Linked DNA regions of Lytechinus pictus. The protein of the gene in region 1 purifies or fractionates together with the protein of each later gene. This does not show direct contact. Links are inferred from orthologs where the notes say so. Each region holds a gene or a part of one and is shown in the gene's direction. Other genes may lie near its edges. The genes, in order: paired amphipathic helix protein Sin3a-like and lysine-specific demethylase 5A-like.

Region 1 (10,639 bases):
GTATGGCATACATATATAACACTAATAACAAGAGGTGACAGTCTGTGGTATATGCAATTGAGCTTGAAAACTAGGTGGGAGGATCTAAGGAGATTTATCAGAATGGGGTTAAATGATATGATTGCTCAGGGAATAATTTTGCTGGACAAATTTGAATAGCATTTTTGGTCATAAGAGAAAAGCTCTCAACTATTATAATGTACAGTCCTATGTAAAAATATGCTATTCAAAAGACTTTATGCATAGCAGTCTTTCAAAAATGTGGAGCGAATTGCGATGCGATACGAGGAAAATTATTCCCTGTTGCTCATTTGTAAGAGTTGCTTATTTGTCATTGAATTTTTTTAATATGGTAATGTTTTCATGAAATTCATGGATCAAAGCATACATGTGTAATGCTTATATCATCATCTTGCATCAAATTTTCTTTTGGAACTGTCAGTTTTTGTATACCGTTCAGATATTGTTCTTTTTTTTCTACATACATTCTGTTACATGTAACTTATTATTTTGTGCAATAGAAGCCATAATTTACATGCACTTATTTAAAAACTTTATGCAATTTTTTCTTGATCCTGAAAGACTGATTAATTCTTTGAATTCAAGAGATCATGTACCATTGTACAATATCATGCCTTTAGATGTTGTATAATAATGTCTCCAATCTTAAAACCTTTTCTTTTACTTTATTGCTTTTCTATCCAGTGGGATTTTTTTCAAGATTTTATCATATGATGCTAATTGTTCTGAATTCATTAACTCTTTCATGATTGTCATAATAAAGTATTTATTGTTAACGAATTATAAGATGGATTCATGTTCTCTTGGTGTCTTGTTACAAAAAGGAATAAACTTTCTTTCGATTTACATGCACATAAACAGTGTTTCTAGTATCTGCTTTTGTGTAGCTTGTGATGTAAGTTTTCAAAATGTGAAGGTTTTGTTGTTCAGAAGTGGAAACTTGCTTACCTTTTCATTTGTGTCATCACATATGATGAAATGAAATATTGATTTTATGAACCAAATTTTGATTTGACAAAGGGTAAATTATTAATAGATTGACTAAGTGAGAGTAAGTTAGTTGGGCTGTAGAGTAATTAGTCCAAATTGAGAGTAGATCAAGTGGTTGTTAGGCAGAGATGGAAATGGCAGAGGTGAATATGGCAAATCTTAAGGAACTGACGGAGGCAAAAATGACAGGTTAAATTGGCATGCTACATTAACTTGGAAAAGAGAGAGCCTTTCCCGTCGATATCAACGATCTATCTATGATTTATGAGTCCGATATACTAGTAATTCAAATTATCTTGTAACAACCTTTCTTAGTTAACTAGCCATCTATATGCAGGAGATTAACTGCCATTTTTACAGCTTTACATTTCCTTAATTGAATTACAGGGTCTGATGTAGAGTTACACTCCCAGAGCTCATTTTGATACTCATCCGTATCCCCACCCCCACCCATCTTTTTTTATGGGGGTGGCGCCACCCCTGGTATTTACATTAAAAATTGTCATTGTGGTTTCATTTATTGTGTTACTTTAGCATTTGGGGAATTCTAATATTCTATATACTGAATTAAGATTGGCCTACTGTACGCCTCGTAAAAAAATTCTTCATGTCGTTTTCATATCAATGCACAGAGAGATAAAATATAATAGTAATAATAATAATGATGACACCCAACGTGCTTTTCCCAAATGGCCCAAAGCGCTTACAATTTAAGTTTACCTAATTCATGCAAAAACAAATACAGAATGAATGAACAAACACGTTTTTTATGAACATCTTAAATGATTCAACTTTTGGGGACTTTGTCTTAATGTGAGAGGGAGATTGTTCCATTCCATTGAGGATGCAAAAGTGAAGGTTCTATCTCCGGTCCGTTTTCGTTCTGTTGCACATATGCAATTAATATATGCAGATCCTCTGAAGACCCAATGGAATTAACGTATATGTTAACTTAAGTGGGTCTTTAGAGGAGTCTAGTTTTTCTACCTGGGATATAAATTTCTAAACAATCAGACAAATATTTTTGGGGGCTAGGTTATATACCAAAAGAAGTAGCTTGAAAATGATCCGATATGGTGCCAGTGTAAATTATGTAACAGGGGTTCAGGAGGTGTGTCACGGCGGACTTCGAAATTCAAGACGGAGGCGCTGTAGACGATTTATCCCCTTTCCCATACCCCACCCCCTCCCCATGAAAGATTCTGTCAAAAGCCAACGTTTTGCTCAAGTGACATTCTAAACATTCTACAGTCATGTGCATTTCAAAATTTACCAAAACGAAAATGAAAATGTGAACATGCATACATGCACTAAGTCTGAATTGGAGTTACAATCAAATGTTATAACAATTAACAAAACAAAAAGTCTCTGTATGCTTGCATTTCGAATTTCAAACAGTTACGATTCTGACCAAAATAAATGTTTCCAAACATAATTGAAAACTATATAACCGATGGAAAATTACCACTATATTTTACTTTTCTCCTTGTATGTTTTTATCTATATATCTTATGATTTTTTTAAGGGAATAACTGTACTTGTTGATTTACTAGATCATGAAATCGAGTTCTAATTGGTTAAAGGAAATTACAGCTACACCAAATTATCAGTTTGGCTAAGTATCGTACAGTCTAAAAACAAATCAGTAAAAAATGACTATAGTGAATAGGGTCAGCTGGGTGCCACTGTTATTCTCGTTATTTGACTATTTTCTTGTCGTATTTTACTAGAATAGAGTATAGAATATATGTCAGAAATGTGACTAGCATATCAGTTGCACCCAGCTATGACCACTTGTCCAGTCAATTTGACTGATTTGTTTTAAGAGTGTATATTCCACAAACTAGCGGATTAAAAATCAAGATTTTATCATTTATACATTCCTCTCCAATACGCAGAAACAACATTAAGCTAACAAATGTAATTTAGAAAAGGTTATGGAGACAAACAATATACAAATTTACGTGTAGTTGAGGCAGAAAATAGAGAGTGACTAAAGGCCTTGGAGGGGCAGGAGAAGATTGTCACCCCCTGAAAATCGATTCGCCCCTCAATAAGTTTGAAAACTTGAAAAAGAAAAATAGCTATACTGAGCTGTTAAACTTGGCATGAAAAAAAGTAAAAATACTAATACAAAATTTTCATTTATTTTGCACACCTTTGCCATGCAAAATTATGTAATAGAAAATTTGGCACGCCGAAAATATTGGACAATTGTAGATTAGGCCTAATACCACTTTTCAATGACAAACAGCCTCCCATAATGATCAGTCTTTTTTTTTTACACTTATTTCACAATAATTTTTTTTTGTATTTATATGACTTATTTCACAATTATGGTTTATACATGTAATTGGCACACATTCTTGATATACTGACTTTCATGGCTATAAACAATCTTTTCGTCTTCTGATGGCGAAGAGAGAAATTATCAGGAGAAAGAAATAATACTCGAAGCTGTGTGCATTGATAGAAATACATGAAGGCCTATATACAGCAAAACGATTGGAGTTATGAACATCTTTCTTTTAATATACCCAAATTTGAATTAAGTGTAAATAATTGCTATGCAACACACCGGGTACATGCGATCGAAGTTTCTGTTATTTCGGTAATTTTCAAAATTGTATAATTCACAGAATAAATAATAAAGACACCCATGTATTGTTCAAGCTTGTGCATTTCTGCCAGGATCAGTTTACGTTCAGGAATACGTTAGGCTAATCATTCCCGTAAAGTGGGAGTAGACTTTTCGAGCACCAATTCCATAGAACTTCCAACAAATTGATAAAATTTAGAACCTCGCGCCGCAAACTTCAAACACTTCTTACAATCAACTAAATTCTATTTTCATTGGCTTGTTAAGGATTGTGGGCGTAGGGCGCGCGTTTCACCTGTCAGGGTTCGCGTGTATGCAGCTCATCATTGGTCACTTAATGAATTAACGTTGTGACGTAGACTACTGCCCATAGGTCGTACGTATTATATGCAAATAAGCATAACAGTGTATCTTTCCCGAAATAAGGATGTGGATTTACCCGTAGATTTGGACGTAAAATCCGAGGAAATCTGGACCATCTGATTGATTTCACTGGTAATTCTCTCTAGGTTTATTTGTTGAAGTGTTCTTTTCTCTAGCATTGTATGGCAAATCTTTTGATCGCAGGTTGGATGATAATCTTTTATATTTTAGCAAGGTTTTCACAGCGGAGACCATAGAAAATTTCGACCCGAACTCTCCCTATGTTTTGATCGTCAAGCGTCTCGCACTGCCCAGCTGGTGAGGTTGTTGTATGGGACTGCAATTTTGATGGTTGTTTCTTCACAGATAGCCTCATGTTTACGTTATTTTAAAGGTGGATGGATAGGGGATGTTAATCACTGTGTATTGCGGAACCTTTAGTGTAAGTTATATATATTTTGTTAATCTGAGAATACATTTTCTTCGAGTTTTGGTGACAAAAGACGTGAATTATGTCCCGACGTCCGACTTGTTCTGCGTTGGTTGTGCACTGTCTTCGCGCGATGTTTGACATGGTATGTGTTGGAAAATTGTAAAATTTTGTGTGTTGGAATTCATCTGAGCATTTCAATTTCTGTAAGTAATAGACCTTGTTTATTTTCCATCATTTTCATATTTGATTTGTAGGTATTCGTTGGAAGATTGAATGATACTGAAGATTATAATTCTGCTCCAAATGTCCGCCCCAAAACGGATTGGCCATTGCACGTTAAATTATGTTCCCATTATTGTGTGCATATCATGCGGTGCTTGTGTGTAGGCCGTGGTGAATTGTGGCGTCTGCCTTTGACTTCGACCGATGTGATTATTCAGAGAAAACCAAGGGAATATGCCAGTTTTATTCCATATTTGCATTCAAAATCATTTAATTTACTATTTGTTTTTATCACCATGATCATTTTGCAAATTTACCACACAAAGTCTGCTATGGAATCGTCTAATTTCTTGTTTATGTGAGCACTTTAGTTCTGTGATTTTTGTGCGGTGGATTGACAACAGCCAGCTTCCTGGTTATCTCAAAGATATTGTTTATGGGCTGATACCATTTTTGTGTAGGGGTCTTTGGGGTGGTAGTTGTGGGATGTGTCTTAACTTTTTTTTCTTTTCCCCCTTTTATTATTCGTTAAGACACCTTTTATGTAAGATAAAGAAAATTACATGTTCTTTTTTTTTATATTTTAAGATATAAATTAAAATTGTATGTTCTTTCTTGATGATTAGACGGCTTTGGCTTTGCGTGCTAGGTTTAAATCGCCAGTCTTCCTATTTTTAATGGTTCATGCTGATCATCCAAGGAGAGTTTCAGTCAGCCATTTTTTGACACAGCAACAACTTGCTTCGGCGAGTCATTGGGTCTGTGCATTCATTGCAGATTTCCATGTGTTGTAGTCCCTCGTAGTATGCACACAATGTATTGACCTAGCAGAGGTGGACTATTATTAGCTTTGTTTGAGGTGGAACATGGCTGAAAGCACACCCTATGTTGAATTTTTCAGTTCCAAAGCATGAAATATTATATTGTCATGCATGCCAATGCCATTGACAATGTCATTTGAATTATACATGTTTATCCATGGACATTTTATGAATTCCCTCTTAAAGTAAACACACCAAAAAGGCTATGTTTATGCTATTTCTGATTACCTGTATTTGTCAATTGTCATGTCCGAATTCCTCAGTCTCATTCAGGAGTAACTGTAATCTCATAAAGTTTACATGTACATGTCATGTAACAAAACAAATGAATGGTATGGATATGAAATAAATGACATGTAAATTGTAAGCACAGGAATTATTTATTCTTAAACTGGTTTTGCTAATTGGAGGATCAAGGATGTAGCTTATAAGTGAATATTCTTGAGTCAGAAATTGTGAAATGTTTGCATCATGAACAGGCATGTTGGAGTGTAATGGTGCAAATTATAATTGTTTCATGTCATTGGTTGAAAATCAAGTTGTGCATGATTTTTAGAGTTGCAATCAATCGCAACTCTAAAAATCACGCGCAACTTGATTTTCAACCAATGAACAGCGCGCATTTGGTACTTGCGATTTTTTTTGGCTTGCGTTTAAACGCAACTCTTTCTGCAACGGGCCCCATCCATAAACTGTCACAACTCAAGGTATTTTTTGTGATGTGTTGCTGTAGGTGGAGGATCAAACTTACATAAAGAAATTAATCATGATTTTTGAAGCAAACTGGAATTTGAATTTTCCAAATTTGGCTGTGTTGCCCGAGTTGAGTGTGGCAGAATGTTTTTAATTTTTGTGGGTAATTTTCAACAAAGTTGATGATGCCACTTTCTTTATTTCTTTTTCTTTTTTGTTTAGAGTTTGCACCATTATTTTTTTTCTACATGCAGTATTTACATATTGTAAATCTTTTGAATGCAACACTGAACACAATCAAATTTAACACATACATTTAAAGGTCAAGTCCACCCCAGGAAAATGCTGACTTGAATAAATAGCTCTAGAAAAATCAAACTAGCATAGTGCTGAAAATTTCATCAAAATCGGATGTAAAATAAGAAAGTTATGACATTTTAAAGTTTCGCTTATTTTTCACAAAACAGTGATATGCACAACTACAGTAAATGAGTCAGTCGATGATGTCCATCACTCACTATTTCTTTTGTTTTTTATTGTTTGAATTATACAATATTTCATTTTTTATAGATTTGACAATAAGGACGAACTTGACTGAAACATACATGTAGTATTAAACAATGCTAATGCCACATGTACAGGGAGGAATTAATAGTTGTATCACTTGACAATGAGGAGTAAATTAGACTATTTCATATAATAAAATACAAAAGAAATAGTGAGTGGATGACGTCATAGTCTCCTCATTTGCATACCAGCCAGGATGTGCATATTACTGTTTTGTGAAATTAAGCGAAATTTTAAAATGTTATAACTTTCTTATTTTACATCCGATTTTGATGAAATTTTCAGTGTTATGCTTGTTGGATTTTTTCTCTTTTTATTCAAATCAACTTTTTGTTGGGGTGGACTTGTCCTTTGAGGATTAATTAGTGACAATGTTCATCATATAAATTTTAGATTCATTTACTAGCAGGCCTATCTGTAATGATTAAATCAGTCAAGCTATTTTTGTCTCACCTGCATAGCAGAGTGAAACTAAAGGCGCCGCTTTTCCAATGGCAGCGGCGTCAACATCAAATCTTAACCAAAGGTTAAGTTTTTGAAATGACAGCATAACTTAAAAAAAAGTATATGGACCTAGTTCATGAAACTTGGCCAAAAGGGTAATCAAGTATTACTGAACATCCAGCCTGTGTTTCAAGTCACATGACCAAGGTCAAAGGTCATAGGTCATTGAGGGTCAATGAACTTTGACCAAGTTGGGGGTATTTGTTGAATTACATGTACCATCATAACTTTGAAAGTTTATGGATCTGATTGATATAACTTGGACTTAAGTGTAATCAAGTTTCACTGAACATCTTGTGGGAGTTGAATTACCATCATACATGTAACTCTGAAAGTGTATGGATCTAGTTCATAAAACTTGGACATAAGAGTAATCAAGTATCACTGAACATCTTGTGCGAGTTTCAGGTCACATGACCAAAGTCAAAGGTCTTTTAAGGTCAATGAACTTTGGCCACGTTGGAGGTAATTATCAAATTGCTGTCATAACTTACAGAGTTTATGGATAGTTTGTGAAATGTGGACATAGGTGTAATCACTGACAAGTCTTAAGTATCACTGACAAGTCTTAGGTCACATGATCAATGTCAAATATCATTTAGGGTCAATGAACGTAGTATTGTATCATATGAATGGTGCTTTTTGTGAATAATCATTTTATAGTAGTTTTCAAGTCAGCACTGCTGCTATATTGAATCGCTTAATGCAGGTGAGACTGCCAGAGGTGCTCCACTTGTTAAGAGTAATTAAGCCCCCATTCCACAGAGGGGAGATTTTTAAAACAATACCTTTGAAAGACAAAAAAATGGCAAGGTCTTAGAGCAATCTCCAAGATCACTGAATTTGTCATCTCTGTGGAATGGCTCAAAAAGACCACTCAAAGAACTCTGAAAGACCGATTGATACTTCTTGTCTTACTAGTCATATAGACATCTTTCAATTGTCTTTCAGAGATCTTTTATGCAACAAGTGATCTTTCAGAATTCTTTCGAGTTTCCATGGACTTTTCCTGGTCTTTCAAGTTTCAATGATCTCTCATGAGTCTTACAGAGCTACAGTGGTGCTACATAATGGTGCATTTGCGGCAATGACTTCACTGTACATTTGCATGTAATTGCTTACAAGTACAATTTATTATTTTATTTTAGAATAAAGGAAAATAAAGTTACTTCCATTTATTATTTAAAAAAATAATTTTTTAGAATAAAACTCAAATAAGCATAATAAATTTCACTCAAAACAAATGTAAAATAGGAAAGTTATGACATTATTAAGTTTCACTTAATTTCCCAGTACAAAATTACAATGCACATCTGTCATCTGGTCAATATGCAAATGTGGGAACTAGGAACCAATAATGTCACCCACTCTCATTTCTTTTCTATTTTATTATATGAAATATGCCATACATGTATGTATATTGTCTCAGTTTAATGTGAAACAGAATTATTACTTCCTAACCAGGAGGAATTTAGATTGTATTGAATGAAGAGTTTCTGTTCAAATCAATGAAATATTGTTATAGTCTAAAACAATGAAATACAAACGAAATTGTAAGTGTGCCAAATTGACAATAATGTGTATGTCACTTTGATGTGCAGACACTGCAGAACCAGTTTATTGAAAATAAGTGAAATTTTAAAATGCCATAACTTTCATATTTTCCATTCAGTTTTGATGGAATTTTCAGTATTATTCATTTGGTCTTATTCAAACCAGCTTTTTATTGGTTTAGATTTCCAATTTAAAGGAAAATTAGCTTGTGTGAAAGCATAAAAATCAAAGAATAAGCTCAACAAAAGTTTGTGTAAAATTGGACAAGAAGAATGTTCAGACTTATGAGCATTTGAATGTCATTTTCACCAATGTTGTGGAAATACTGCAATCTTCCCATGATCAATTAGCTAGGTGAGCAAGAACTGTGATTTCAAACATGTTCAGGCTTTTGGACATTGCAAATATACACCAAATCATCTCTTAAGATATAAAGGACAAGTCCACCACAACAAAATATTGGTTTGAATAAAAAGAGAAAAATCAAACGAGCATAATACCGAAAATTTTATCAAATCGGATGTAAAATAAAGTTATGACGGTTAAAGTTTTGCTTAATTTCACAAAACAGTCATATTCAAATCTTGATCGGTATGCGAATAAGGAGACCGATGACGTCATCCACTCACTACTAGTATTTCTTTGGTATTTCTTGAAATGAAATGTAAATATGCTTATTTTCTCCTCATTGCCATGCAAAATAATGATTTATTCCTCCCTGAATGTGTAATTACCATTGTTTTCACATTTTGTAGTTCAAACAAGAGGGTTCTTATTGCCAAATGAAATATGTAAAAATTGAAATATTCAGTGGACTTGACCTTTAAGTTCTGACTAAACAATTCTTCTGTGATATGTTTTCAAACCTACACATGTACATGTACATGCCACTTAAAAAAATAAAAACGCCTAATTTTGCGAGAGACCTGATATAAGAGAAAATTGACGTGAAATTGTACTTCCATGTACATTAGGTAATTGGGAAGTTATGACATCGCAGATCTTGGTCATATTTGCCATTAGAAGGATCTACATAGAATTAGTGATCTAAATGTTTTCCTTAAAAGATTCTTCATTCTTGTTATTTTTATTGACCATTAAGCTACATGGACATGTGTAGGCCCAAGTCAAAACTTATAATTAGTAGCCTATCTTGCCCATTCCAAACATTACTCTACCAGTTTTACAACATTTCGGGTGGCCGCAAGTAGCTGCTTGGAGCAATTTTATTCGCCATTAAAAAAAAGAAGCAAAACAATGATTTTTTTTTTCGGGGGGGGGGGTCAAATTTGAGTAGAAAATGTCTGCAGTCTGCAGGTTTGAAAAGGGTCACTTGGGTGCAGCATTGAATTTTTTGCCTTACCATTCAATGTTGATTTCAATTTTCGCTTCTTCAAAAAGTGTAATCAAACTTGGACGAGTTCAAAGGTTTCTCTCAAATTACATGACTGCAAGACCACAAATCATATTTTTTTATTTATAAAAGAAGGCAGCCAACTACAATTTATCCCCATCAGAATGGGATTTTAATACCCTTATTCTGAGCTATCTGTACATTGTAGTATGCCTGAGTCATCCCGTTTTTTCTCGCCTGCTTAGCATCTTGCGTTAGTTTTAGGTCACATGACCAAAGTTAAATGTCATTTAAGGTCAATGAACGGTAGGAGTATTTGTTGAATTGCCATCATAAATTTGAAAGTATATGGATCTAGTTCATGAAACTTAAAGTCGTTAGACAAAAGAGTTCTCAAGTATGACTGAACATTCTGTATGAATTTCAGGTCACATGACCAAGGTCATTTAAGGTCAATGAACTCTGGCAATAATGGGGGTATTTGCTAAATTGCCATCATAACTTTGAAAGTTTATGGA
Region 2 (10,437 bases), about 17 Mb from region 1:
AATGTCTAATTGATTTGTGTGTTATTATTAGTTTTGGATTTGTTAAATGAAAGTTTGTGGAGCTTCGTGTTGGATAAGAGTGGATATATAAGCAGGTTTGGAATGGAGGAGGCTGTTAAAAAGCAGAGCTTGTATAGTACATCCTAATATTAAAATATTCGAATACATAATATACTCTTTAATATATTCTTTTTAATATACGTTTTGATCTAATAAAAAAAGGATCTGTTAACGGCTGCTTGTTAGCCATTAAGACGTTACATATATGAATTATCAAATAATGCGAGCGCGAAGCGCGAGCTGAAAATTTTGACATTTCTACCTGAAGAATGGTAATTCTAAGCACTTTTTGTAATAGTGAAAAGGATAAGTATATAACTAAACAATTGATGCGAGCGCGAAGCGCGAGCGGAAACATTTCGGACACTCTATTCATGTTTTGTAAATCATGAAAAGGATGAGTAATTGGAAAGTTTCCTACATTAATAATGCGAGCGCAAAGCGCGAGCAGACAATTTTTGATGTTGTGATCTGGAACTGGATATTGATTTAAATAGAGAACAATCTAAACGCGTGTTTCAGATTTCGAACTAGAATTTGGGTATTTCTAAATACCTCTCTTATTATGAAAACCAATAAAGCGAGCGCAAAGCGCGAGCTAAAAATATATGATATTCCGATCTGAAAAAGGGACAATTTAAGCTCTGTATTTCAAGCACTTTGTGGGAAAATTGTGAGGTGGATATGGATCACAGTTTAAAAAGAGCTGATATTATTATTACTTAGAGATTTGACCGGGACATTCTATGAGGACATTATGTCATCATATGAAAATGATGACAATCTTCCTATCTCTCTTCCTAAGCATGAGAGCGCGAAATCTGTTAATATTATGGCCTGAAAACTGGACATTATTTTAAAACACTTTTGTAATTATGAATAAGATGCATGAGATAATATCTTTCAACAATCAATGCGAGCGGTAATCGCGTGCCATAATTTTTGATAAACTGTAATCAAATGGAGATTTTAAGTAGTTTGTTTTAGAATCAATATTGAGATATACATAACTCACCAATCAAAATGCGAGCGTGCAGGGCTATAGCTGATACGTTTTGACAATCTGACCTGAATAGGGATATTTTGATAACTTAATGGAATACAGGAAAATAATAGGTACCTGACAAATCAAATTTTGCGTGCGCGCAGCGCAAGCAGAAAATGTTAATATTCAGACCATAAAACATACATTTTTACAGAGCACTTTTTAAAAATCAATTTGTAAAGCAAACAAAATAATGAAAGTTAAATTTCCGAGCTGAAATACGTTTTGTATTTGGACTTCAAAATTTGATATTTTAAGCTCCATATTGAGCAAGATATGTAAATCACCTAAAGGGTTATGCGAGCGCGAAGCGCGAGCGAAAATTTTATATCCCGACATGAAAGATTTTTAAAATTATTTTCCAAGTCTTCCCCCATCTTATTTTATTCACTCGTCTTCCTCCTCTTATGTTTCTTCTTCTTTTTTTCTCCTCTCTTTTCCCTTCTTTTTTTTTCTTTTTTTTTCTCCGCCAATAGGGGGGGGGGGCGGGCCCCTCGGGCCCCCCTGGATCCGCCTATGGTGCTGCACTCGACCCAGGTTAGGTGAATGGGTACCCGGTAGGATCTATACCTTGAAAGCTTTAGCGCCTATACGGCGCGCGCGGCTCAGCTACAGCCGGGGTAATGATGATACCAAGTATCCCGACAAGTATCAAGCAATTATAGTAGCTGCGCTATACAAATGGAACATAAATAATAATTATTTTTATTACTATTATTATTATGGTCCTGGGAAGCAGGGGTGCTATGGGGGTGAAGCACCACCCCCCCCCCCCCTAAAATTTTCCTTGGGAGTGCTGCGCCGTGTGTTACCATATAAATGACAAAAATGTAATGAAAAGTGAACGAGATTTATTAGGAAAACCTTTTTTTTCTGTGGACCAAAACCACTTTTATTCTGGATTGAACCCCCCTGTTTTTTTTTATTGCTTGTTAAATATTTCTCGGGACCGAAAGCACCTCAATTTTAAGTAAAAACTTCTTCTTTTTTTTTTGGTTGTCAAATTCACATCAGCACTCCCTCTCTAAAAATCGCTCCCAGAGCCCTGGTCAACTCATCCTCTCCGAGTGAACAGGGGTATTTTCAGTAGTATGATTATAATTGCCTTAAAGCTTAAATAAAAAGTGTCATTCAAGATGAACAGGGTCTAGGTCCCTTCGTCAATATCATAGACGCCTTTAGGCCGATCCAGGGGGGTGAGGAACCCCCCCCCCCCCCCATTTGCGGAGCAAAAACGAAAGAAAAAGGGGAAAGAAAGAAAAGAATGGAAAGAGGGGAGAACAAACAAAAGAAGAGGAAAAAAGAGGCGGAAGACGAGTGAATAAAATAAGGTGAGGGGAAGACTTGGAAAAAAAATCTTTCATACGGTCATTAAAAAAAAATTCGCTCGCGCTCGCATTGCATGTTCGGTGACTCACTGAACATGTAATACATAATCATATCTTGCTCAATAGGCTGATATGGAGCTTTAAATATCAAGTATCGAAGTCAATATACAAAATATATTTTAGTTCGGACGTCGAGCTTTCATTATTTTGTTTGATTTACAAATTGATTTTCAAAAAGTGTTCAGTTGTAAAATGTCCGTTTTATTGTCTGAGTATCAACATTTTCAGCTCGCGCTGCGCGCTCGCATTATTTGATTTGCAAAATACCTATTCTCTTAGTGTGTTCCATAAAGTGATCTAAATTATATCCCTTTCCGGTTTGATTGTCAAAACCAATATAGCTAGCACTGCGCGCTCGCATTTTGATTGGTGAGTAATGTATACCTCTATTGATATTATATAACAAACTTTATGATCCCATTTTCCTGACGTTTTATCAAAAATTTTGACTAGCGATTTGCACTCGCATTAATAAATTGTTGATAATATATGAACCCATGCATATCCTATTCATAACCGGGATTCATAATTACCAAATTGCTTTCTCCAGTTTTCATTGAATTTTTTCGGCCCCCCCCCCCCCATCATGGCGAAAGCTGGATATCCGCCCCTGAAATATCTCAGGTATTTATAGGACAGATTCTGGATCATAATTATCTGTGTAATAAAGTTACGCGGCCCAGGCCCCTCATTTTCATAATTTTCTTGATACTTTTCCCTTTCTCCCTTTTAATTCTTGTTTTGAATTCTTGACGCAGTCCCTCGGGCTTGACATCATAGGAGGTGGTTCCCTCCCCCTCCCCAGGGGCGGATCCAGCCTTCGCCAATAGGGGGGGGGGGCTGAATTTTTTTCAGCCATATTTCCCCCGATCGGCCGCTCGAAGATGATTTTTGGTTTCTTTGAAGGGGTAATCCTAATAGTCACTTCTTAGCTTTATTCTTATAAATCAACATAAATATATAATATCATAATCCTTATTTATATAATGCGAGCGCGAAGCGCGAGCTAAATTTTTTGGAAATCTTATGCATTTTTTTCCTAAAATATGAACATTCTGGGCAATTTTTGTTATCCTGAAAAAGATGTGTATGCAACTAAATAATTACTACGAACGCGAAGCGCGAGCAGAAATGAACTGATGGAAAAAGTACTTGTTAAAGACTGTATGCAGTTAGCCATGAAGACGTTATATTTTAGAAATCAAATAATGCGAGCGCGAGCTGAAAATTTTTGACATTTTTACCTAAAGAATGGAAATTCTGAGCACTTTTTGTAACTTAAACAGAATAGGTATATAACTAAACATTGATGCGAGCGGAAAATTTTCGAGATTTAGACCCACTGAACGAGACACTCTATTCATGTTTTGTAAATCATGAAAAGGATGAGTAATTGGGGATCTTCCTTACACTAATAATGCTAGCGCAAAGCGTGAGCAGAACATTTTTATACGCGTTTTGAACTGATCGAAAAAGTACCTATTAAGGACTACTTGCATGCACTTAGCCATGAAGACGTTTACATATTTCAACAATCAAATAATGCGAGCGCAAAGCGCGAGCTGAAAATTTTCACATTTCTGCATTAGAATGGAAAATTTTAATCAATTTGTGTAATCGTGAACAGGATAGCTATATAACTAAACATTGATGCGAGCGCGAAGCGCGAGCGGAAAAAAAATCGAGATTTAGACCCCAAAACGGGACACGCTATTCATGTTTTGTAAATCATGAAAAGAATGAGTCATAGGGGATCTCCCTACATTAATAATGCGAACACAAAGCACGAGCAGAATTTTTTTGATATTGTGATCTGAAACTGGATAATGATTTAAATAGAGAACAAGTTGAGTATCTGAATAAACATGTGCGCGCGTGTTTCATATTTTGACATAGAATCTAGGCATTCTATATACATATTTTATCATGAAAATAAAAGCGAGCGCGAGAAGCGCGAGCTTAAACTATTTGATATTCCGATCTGAAAAAAGAGTCAATTTCAGCTCTCTATTTCAAGCACTTTGTAGGAAAATTGTGAGGCGGATATCGATCGCACTTGATAAAGAGCTGATATTTTTCATTATAATTACTTTGAGTTTTGACATAGGACATAGGACACCGGATAGGACATCCTTAGGACATGTCATCATAATTATGAAAATGATGACTGTCTTCCTATTCTTCTTGCTAAGCGCGAGATGAAACAAAAGGGACATTTCAATTATTAAATTGATATCTTATTCATTAATGCCTAATGAGGGCGCGAAATCTGATGATATTATGGCCTGAAACTGGATATTTCAAGCACTTTTGTAATTATAAATAGGTTGCATCAGTTAATATGTCTTTAACCATTAACGCGAACGCAAATTGCGAGCCTAAGTTTTTTAAACACTGTCATGAAAAGGGAATTTTAAGAAGTTTGTTATGTAATCAATATTGAGACATACATAACTCGACCATCAAAATGCGAGCATGCAGCGCTAGCTGATACGTTGTGACAATCAAACCTGAAAAGGGATATTTTGACAACTTAATGGAATACACGAAAATAATAAGTACCTGATAAATCAAAATTTGCTAGCGCGCAGCGCGAGCAGAAAATGTTAATATTCAGACCATAAAACTGACATTTTTACAAAGCAATTTTTAAAAATCATTTAGTAAATCTCACAAAATAATGAAAGTTCGATTTTTAGAGATGAAATATGTTTTGTATATTGACTTCCAAACTTGATATTTAAACTCCATATTGAACAAGATAACCTTTATTGAACAAAATCACATAACAGGCAATGCGAGCGCGAAGCACGAGCAAATTTTATTTTTATAGTGACATCATAAGATTCTTTTCATTTTCCAAGTCTTCCCCTCATCTTATTTTATTCACTCGTCTTCCTCCATTCCTTTTTTCTCCTCTCTTTTCCCTCCTTTTTTTGTTGTTTGTTTATTTCTTTCCTTTTTTTTTTGCTCCGTCAATAGGGGGCGGGGGGGGCGGGCCCCTCGGGCCCCCCTGGATCCGCATATGCGTCCCCCTCTAATGAAAGGAAAAGATCACGGGTCTAGTCAGGTTGTCATCTTTTAGAAGAATAGATCAGTTTACAAAACCTTTTATTAAACCATGCAAACTGCTTTTAGATTATTAGACATTTTAATTTTAACTTGAAAGTAAAGGGGCATTGAACTCCGTCCGACTCCATCCATACGCTGCTGTACACATGCGCAATGGTGACGTGCAGCTCGCATATCGATAGCTTATCGTGCGATTACGATATCTACGTACGGTAATGTTTTCGACTTCGGAGAGGAACATTTTTATCACAAATATGTGACTGAAAACACATCTCTTTAAGGAGTAATCTGTGGTGTGACTAAATAATAAAGGATTTTATTGGAATCATAATCATGGATGACGGTCAGGCTTTCGTTCCACCACCGGAAGCTCCCGTTTTTGAACCATCAGAGGAAGATTTCTCGGACCCCCTCGCTTACATTGCCAAGATACGGCCCATTGCAGAGAAAACTGGCATTTGTAAAATTAGACCTCCTCCGGTAAGACAACCGAAATGTGTTTTAATACAATTCAGTTTTAACATATTTTTCTCTTGTCATTCATTGAATGTTTGCTCTCAAATGTTAGGTAATATTCCTTTCTACGGTAATCTTGTCCCCAATTCCCACATAAATATATTAGATTTTGTACTTTCACTTAAAATGAAGGAGTTGTTTATCTCGCTTTTGACTTTGCTCCCATAGTTGATCGTGTGTCTGCCTATGCAGCGTAGAGGTTGCGCTAATGTCACTGCGTGCAAACGCTCCCTCGGCTTTTGTTCGAACTCGACGAATGTGATGCAACGATGCTAATTCAGAAAAAACTTCCTTCAAATAATTCGTTTTCGTAGCGTATATATTGAAGAAATCAGGAAGTTTTTACCATCAGTTGATAGGCAAATGGTGTGCTGACAATTTCAATATCATTTTTTGGACTGCCCATCTCAATTTTATCTGACATTTTCATCCCCATGAAGCAGTCAGAAAACTGTTAATTCAGACATTTTGCTGGAGTGGGTTGAATAATCTGGTGAACTGCAAGTTGAGAATGCCAAATGACCATATTCTGTTTCACATAAATTGAAATATTCTGATACACAAACAGTATTTTCAAGCAAAATTGACCAGAATTCCAATTACCTGCATTTTCTTGTACAAAATTCTTCAGAAATCCCTTTTGCATTTTATTTTCAACAATCCAAATATTGACAAATTGTGAACAATTTGCTTTGACAAAATGGCCACCCTGCTGCTCACTGGCACAGCACAGCTGTGTCATGAGTGACATGGGAATGGGATTTTTGTGCACATTTAAACCCCGTTGTTACCTTTTTTATGTCCAGATAGGTTTTGAATCTGGACGAACAGAAAAAATATTACATAGGTCTAGATGTAGATGGGGATTTCAAGAATAATTTCATAATAAGGGTCTAGACTCAAGCTAGGCCTTGAGTTGAGATCTACATACATATGCATGTACACTGTAGTAGAAAATTCATATTGAAAATTTCACACTAGTTATCACAGATGTACCGTATGGGTACTAGTATTCAACCCGGCATAATTCAAAGATTTTGACATATTCCCCAAAATATTTAGAAATAGGGAATTTATCTTAATTTCATACCTTTGTTATTTCCAGGATAATCTGTTGTCGATATTTTCTTTGTCAATCTGTCGACTGTAGGCGCGGAGGATCGAATTATGCGGCGATGGCCTTTTGCACTGAATGGTACTAGTATTCAACCTAGTGAGGATTGATAGCAAATCTCAAAAGGGTTTAGATTGCTAAATTAGATCTAGATCTATGTAAGTCTCTGGCTTTGATTAATTCCCTGTTTGGTCTCATCTCAAATGGTCTAGTCCATAGTCGGATGGGACAAGGGCAGATTGAGAGACAGGGCCATCTTTCATCGCTAGGTTGAAAACTAGTGCCGACGGGTTGAATACTAGTACCAAAATCCCTCGCCGTATAATTCGATCGCCCGCGCACACAGTCAACTGGTTGAAGAAAAAAATAACAGAAAAAGAATAACCAGCATTTGCTCTTGGAAATAAGACGGGTCTGAAATTCAGGTAAATTCTATATTTCTATATATTTGAGGAAACTCTCCAAACGGGTTGAATACTAGTGCCCTTACGGTATGTCATGAATCTAACAAGAAACTACATGTACTTTCAAATTTAAATATTGTCATATTCATCTTGAGCATAAAGAAACCTATTCATTCCTCATCAAACTGTAGACACAGTTTGAGGAATATCTGAAATACTGTAAGAAATCAAGTGAAACATAATTGCCAAATCTAGGGGTCTGCTGATCTGGTTAAAAAGTTTACTGAAAAGGCTTTCGAGAAACATGTAGGCTTACACAATCTTTTCACATGGACATGGATCATTAGACATGCAGTGATCATGACTTCAGACCTGACATGTTGCCATTGTGTTTATTATCTTGTGACATGAAGAAAATCTCTTTTTTTTTCCAAAGAAACCACAGCAGATATGGACTTTTCTGTCCATAGCCTTTTCTTACAATACGTGTATGGTATGATTAACATGCAGGTTTAATCAAAATTCTTGAAATTAATGGTTATGCGGACATTGGCACCATTTGGTAAATTCTTTTTACAGTACTTACTTATGCCTATGGTAAGGTCCCCCAAGTCTGCGCATACATGTACAGTACCAGTCATCAATCTCCGAGTACATGCGGCGAGCCATTTCCGGCCGTTGCAGCATACATGATTACATGTACCATGTACGTGTATCTGCGCAATTCGAATACAAGGAGACATGCAACGACCACAAACTTTATTGCAATACATGAACAGATAATCATTAAAAAATCCTACTTAAAACGGTGAAAAAATATTGAATTTCAGACATTTCATGTGATGGCCACAAAATGCAGCCTTGGCTGGATTTACAAAAATGTATAAATCGCTTTATGCAATGCAGGCTTGTTACGATCATCTGCGTTTGCGGAGCGGGGATGGCTGCACCCTTTCAAGAAAACCAGGGGAGCTTTTCTCGAAAGGGTGGGTTGAGGGAGGGGAGTAAAATAAACGCACCTTTTCGCAACAACCGGGTCGAGCTTTTCACGAAAGGCTGTGTTTAATAGTTTTCTGAACCAGTCGTTTCTCTGAAAATTATTCATCAAATAATAACAACAATATACTATTTATAGACTATTAGTATAGGCCCACAGATGGGGGGAGGGGCTTGAGGCACTTCCTCAAGCCCCCCCCCAAACAAAAAAATGACGACTAAAAAAAAAGGAAAGAAAAGAGAGAAAGGTAAAATATGATATCATTTTCCGAATATTTCTATTTTTTATTTTATGAGGGGCCAAGCATGGCATATAGAGCAAAATTTCTGCCAAAAAGGTTGAAAGGGGATTGAAGCGAGCGAGCAAAATTTTGCACCCTCTGTCTATATTAAAAGAAAAGTTAATTTTGTGATAGATTGTGACAATATGTTTTGGAAAATAATATCACATTTACTCCTTTTCTAATTTTATTCTCGGTGGTGGAACTTCTTTCTCTCTCTCCCCCTTTTTTTTATTTGGGGGGGGGGGCTGATATTTTTTAAACAGGCGAGAAAGAGGAATGTGAAGAGAGAGAGAGAGAGAGAGGAGAAGTGGGAAAACATGTGAGGGCGTAAGAAAGATAGGGGTGACTTTAATATTTGGCTGGTTCTAGGCAGAATATACTGCAAAATCAGTTAATATGTTGATAGGCAGTACATGTACATCTTTTCTAAATTGTACATATTTTGTTTTGGGTCTAGTGTCTCAGATTGACAAAACGAATTAAAAAAAATGTTTACTTCTTTTTTATATGATTCGACAGTGAATTTAATTTTACTACAGTTTCAAGGAAATAAACAAAGTATTTGTCAATATGGATTATAAATAGAGAACCCTATTTTACTGTTTCAAGAATAAATTCATTTACCCCCCCCCCCCAAACTAAGGGTATGGGGAGTGCCCCGTTTATTTTATATCCTTTTGAATATAACTTTATTCTTTATTCCGGTTTTGAGGTAAAATACATGTAAGTGTAGAAGATACTATAATGAAAATTGAAATTTAAAAGTGGTTGTAAGCAGAAAAAACCATGAAAACTGACAAGACTCCTAAAAATGATTAATTTTTCAGGTCAGCATTTCAAAATTTCAACTTGCGCTTTGTGCTCTCCTGACTCTCCCCCCCCCCCCCCCCCGTCGCCACAGAGATTTCCTTGTGAGCGCTCTATCAGCTGCATTTCTTCTCCGATCATCTTCAAATTTGGCATGAAGGTCAAGTATCGTATAGCGAAGCCGCCTATCGATTTTGCTGTGGGCAGAGACATAGTTGCCATGGTAATGAGTTTTTGTGGAATAGCAGAGATGTCCTTGTGAGCGCTCTACCATCTGCATTTATTCTCCGATTATCTTGAAATGTGGCATGAAGGTCCATTATGGCAAAGCGAAGCTGTCTATTGATTTTGGTGTGGGCGGAGACTTCATTGCCATGGTAACAAGAGTTTTTGTGGAATAGCAGCTCGATGTCCCTGTGAGCACTCTACTAGCTGCATTTCTTCTCCGATCATCTTCAAATGTGGCATGAAGGTCCATTATATGGTTAAGCAAAGCCACCTATTGATTTTGGTGTGGACGGAGACATCGCTGCCATGGTAACAAGTTTTTGTGGAAATAGCAGAGATGTCCTTGTGAGCGCTCTACCAGCTGCATTTCTTCTCCGGTCATCTTCAAATGTAGCATGAAGGTCCATTAAGCAAAGCCGCCTACTGATTTTCGTGTGGGTGGAGACATTGTTACCATGGTAACAAGAGTTTTTGTGGAAATAGCAGAGATTTCCTTGTGAGTGCTCTACTGGCTGCATTTCTT

The links.
Region 2: the proteins of paired amphipathic helix protein Sin3a-like (region 1) and lysine-specific demethylase 5A-like purify together in Drosophila melanogaster (affinity purification with western blotting; 3 studies listed by BioGRID, with this or other methods). This does not show direct contact. The link is inferred for Lytechinus pictus from reciprocal best matches to the Drosophila melanogaster genes Sin3A and Kdm5.

Annotation. Positions count from the first base shown.
Region 1 is NC_087247.1:13,908,888-13,919,526, forward strand, and holds the start of paired amphipathic helix protein Sin3a-like, read left to right. Parts: upstream 1-4,005; 5' UTR 4,006-4,105; intron 4,106-4,330; exon of another isoform or gene 4,331-4,415; intron 4,416-4,520; exon of another isoform or gene 4,521-4,609; intron 4,610-10,639.
Region 2 is NC_087247.1:31,237,423-31,247,859, forward strand, and holds the start of lysine-specific demethylase 5A-like, read left to right. Parts: upstream 1-5,737; 5' UTR 5,738-5,898; coding exon 5,899-6,045; intron 6,046-10,437. UniProt on the Drosophila melanogaster protein: Histone demethylase that specifically demethylates 'Lys-4' of histone H3, thereby playing a central role in histone code. Does not demethylate histone H3 'Lys-9', H3 'Lys-27', H3 'Lys-36', H3 'Lys-79' or H4 'Lys-20'.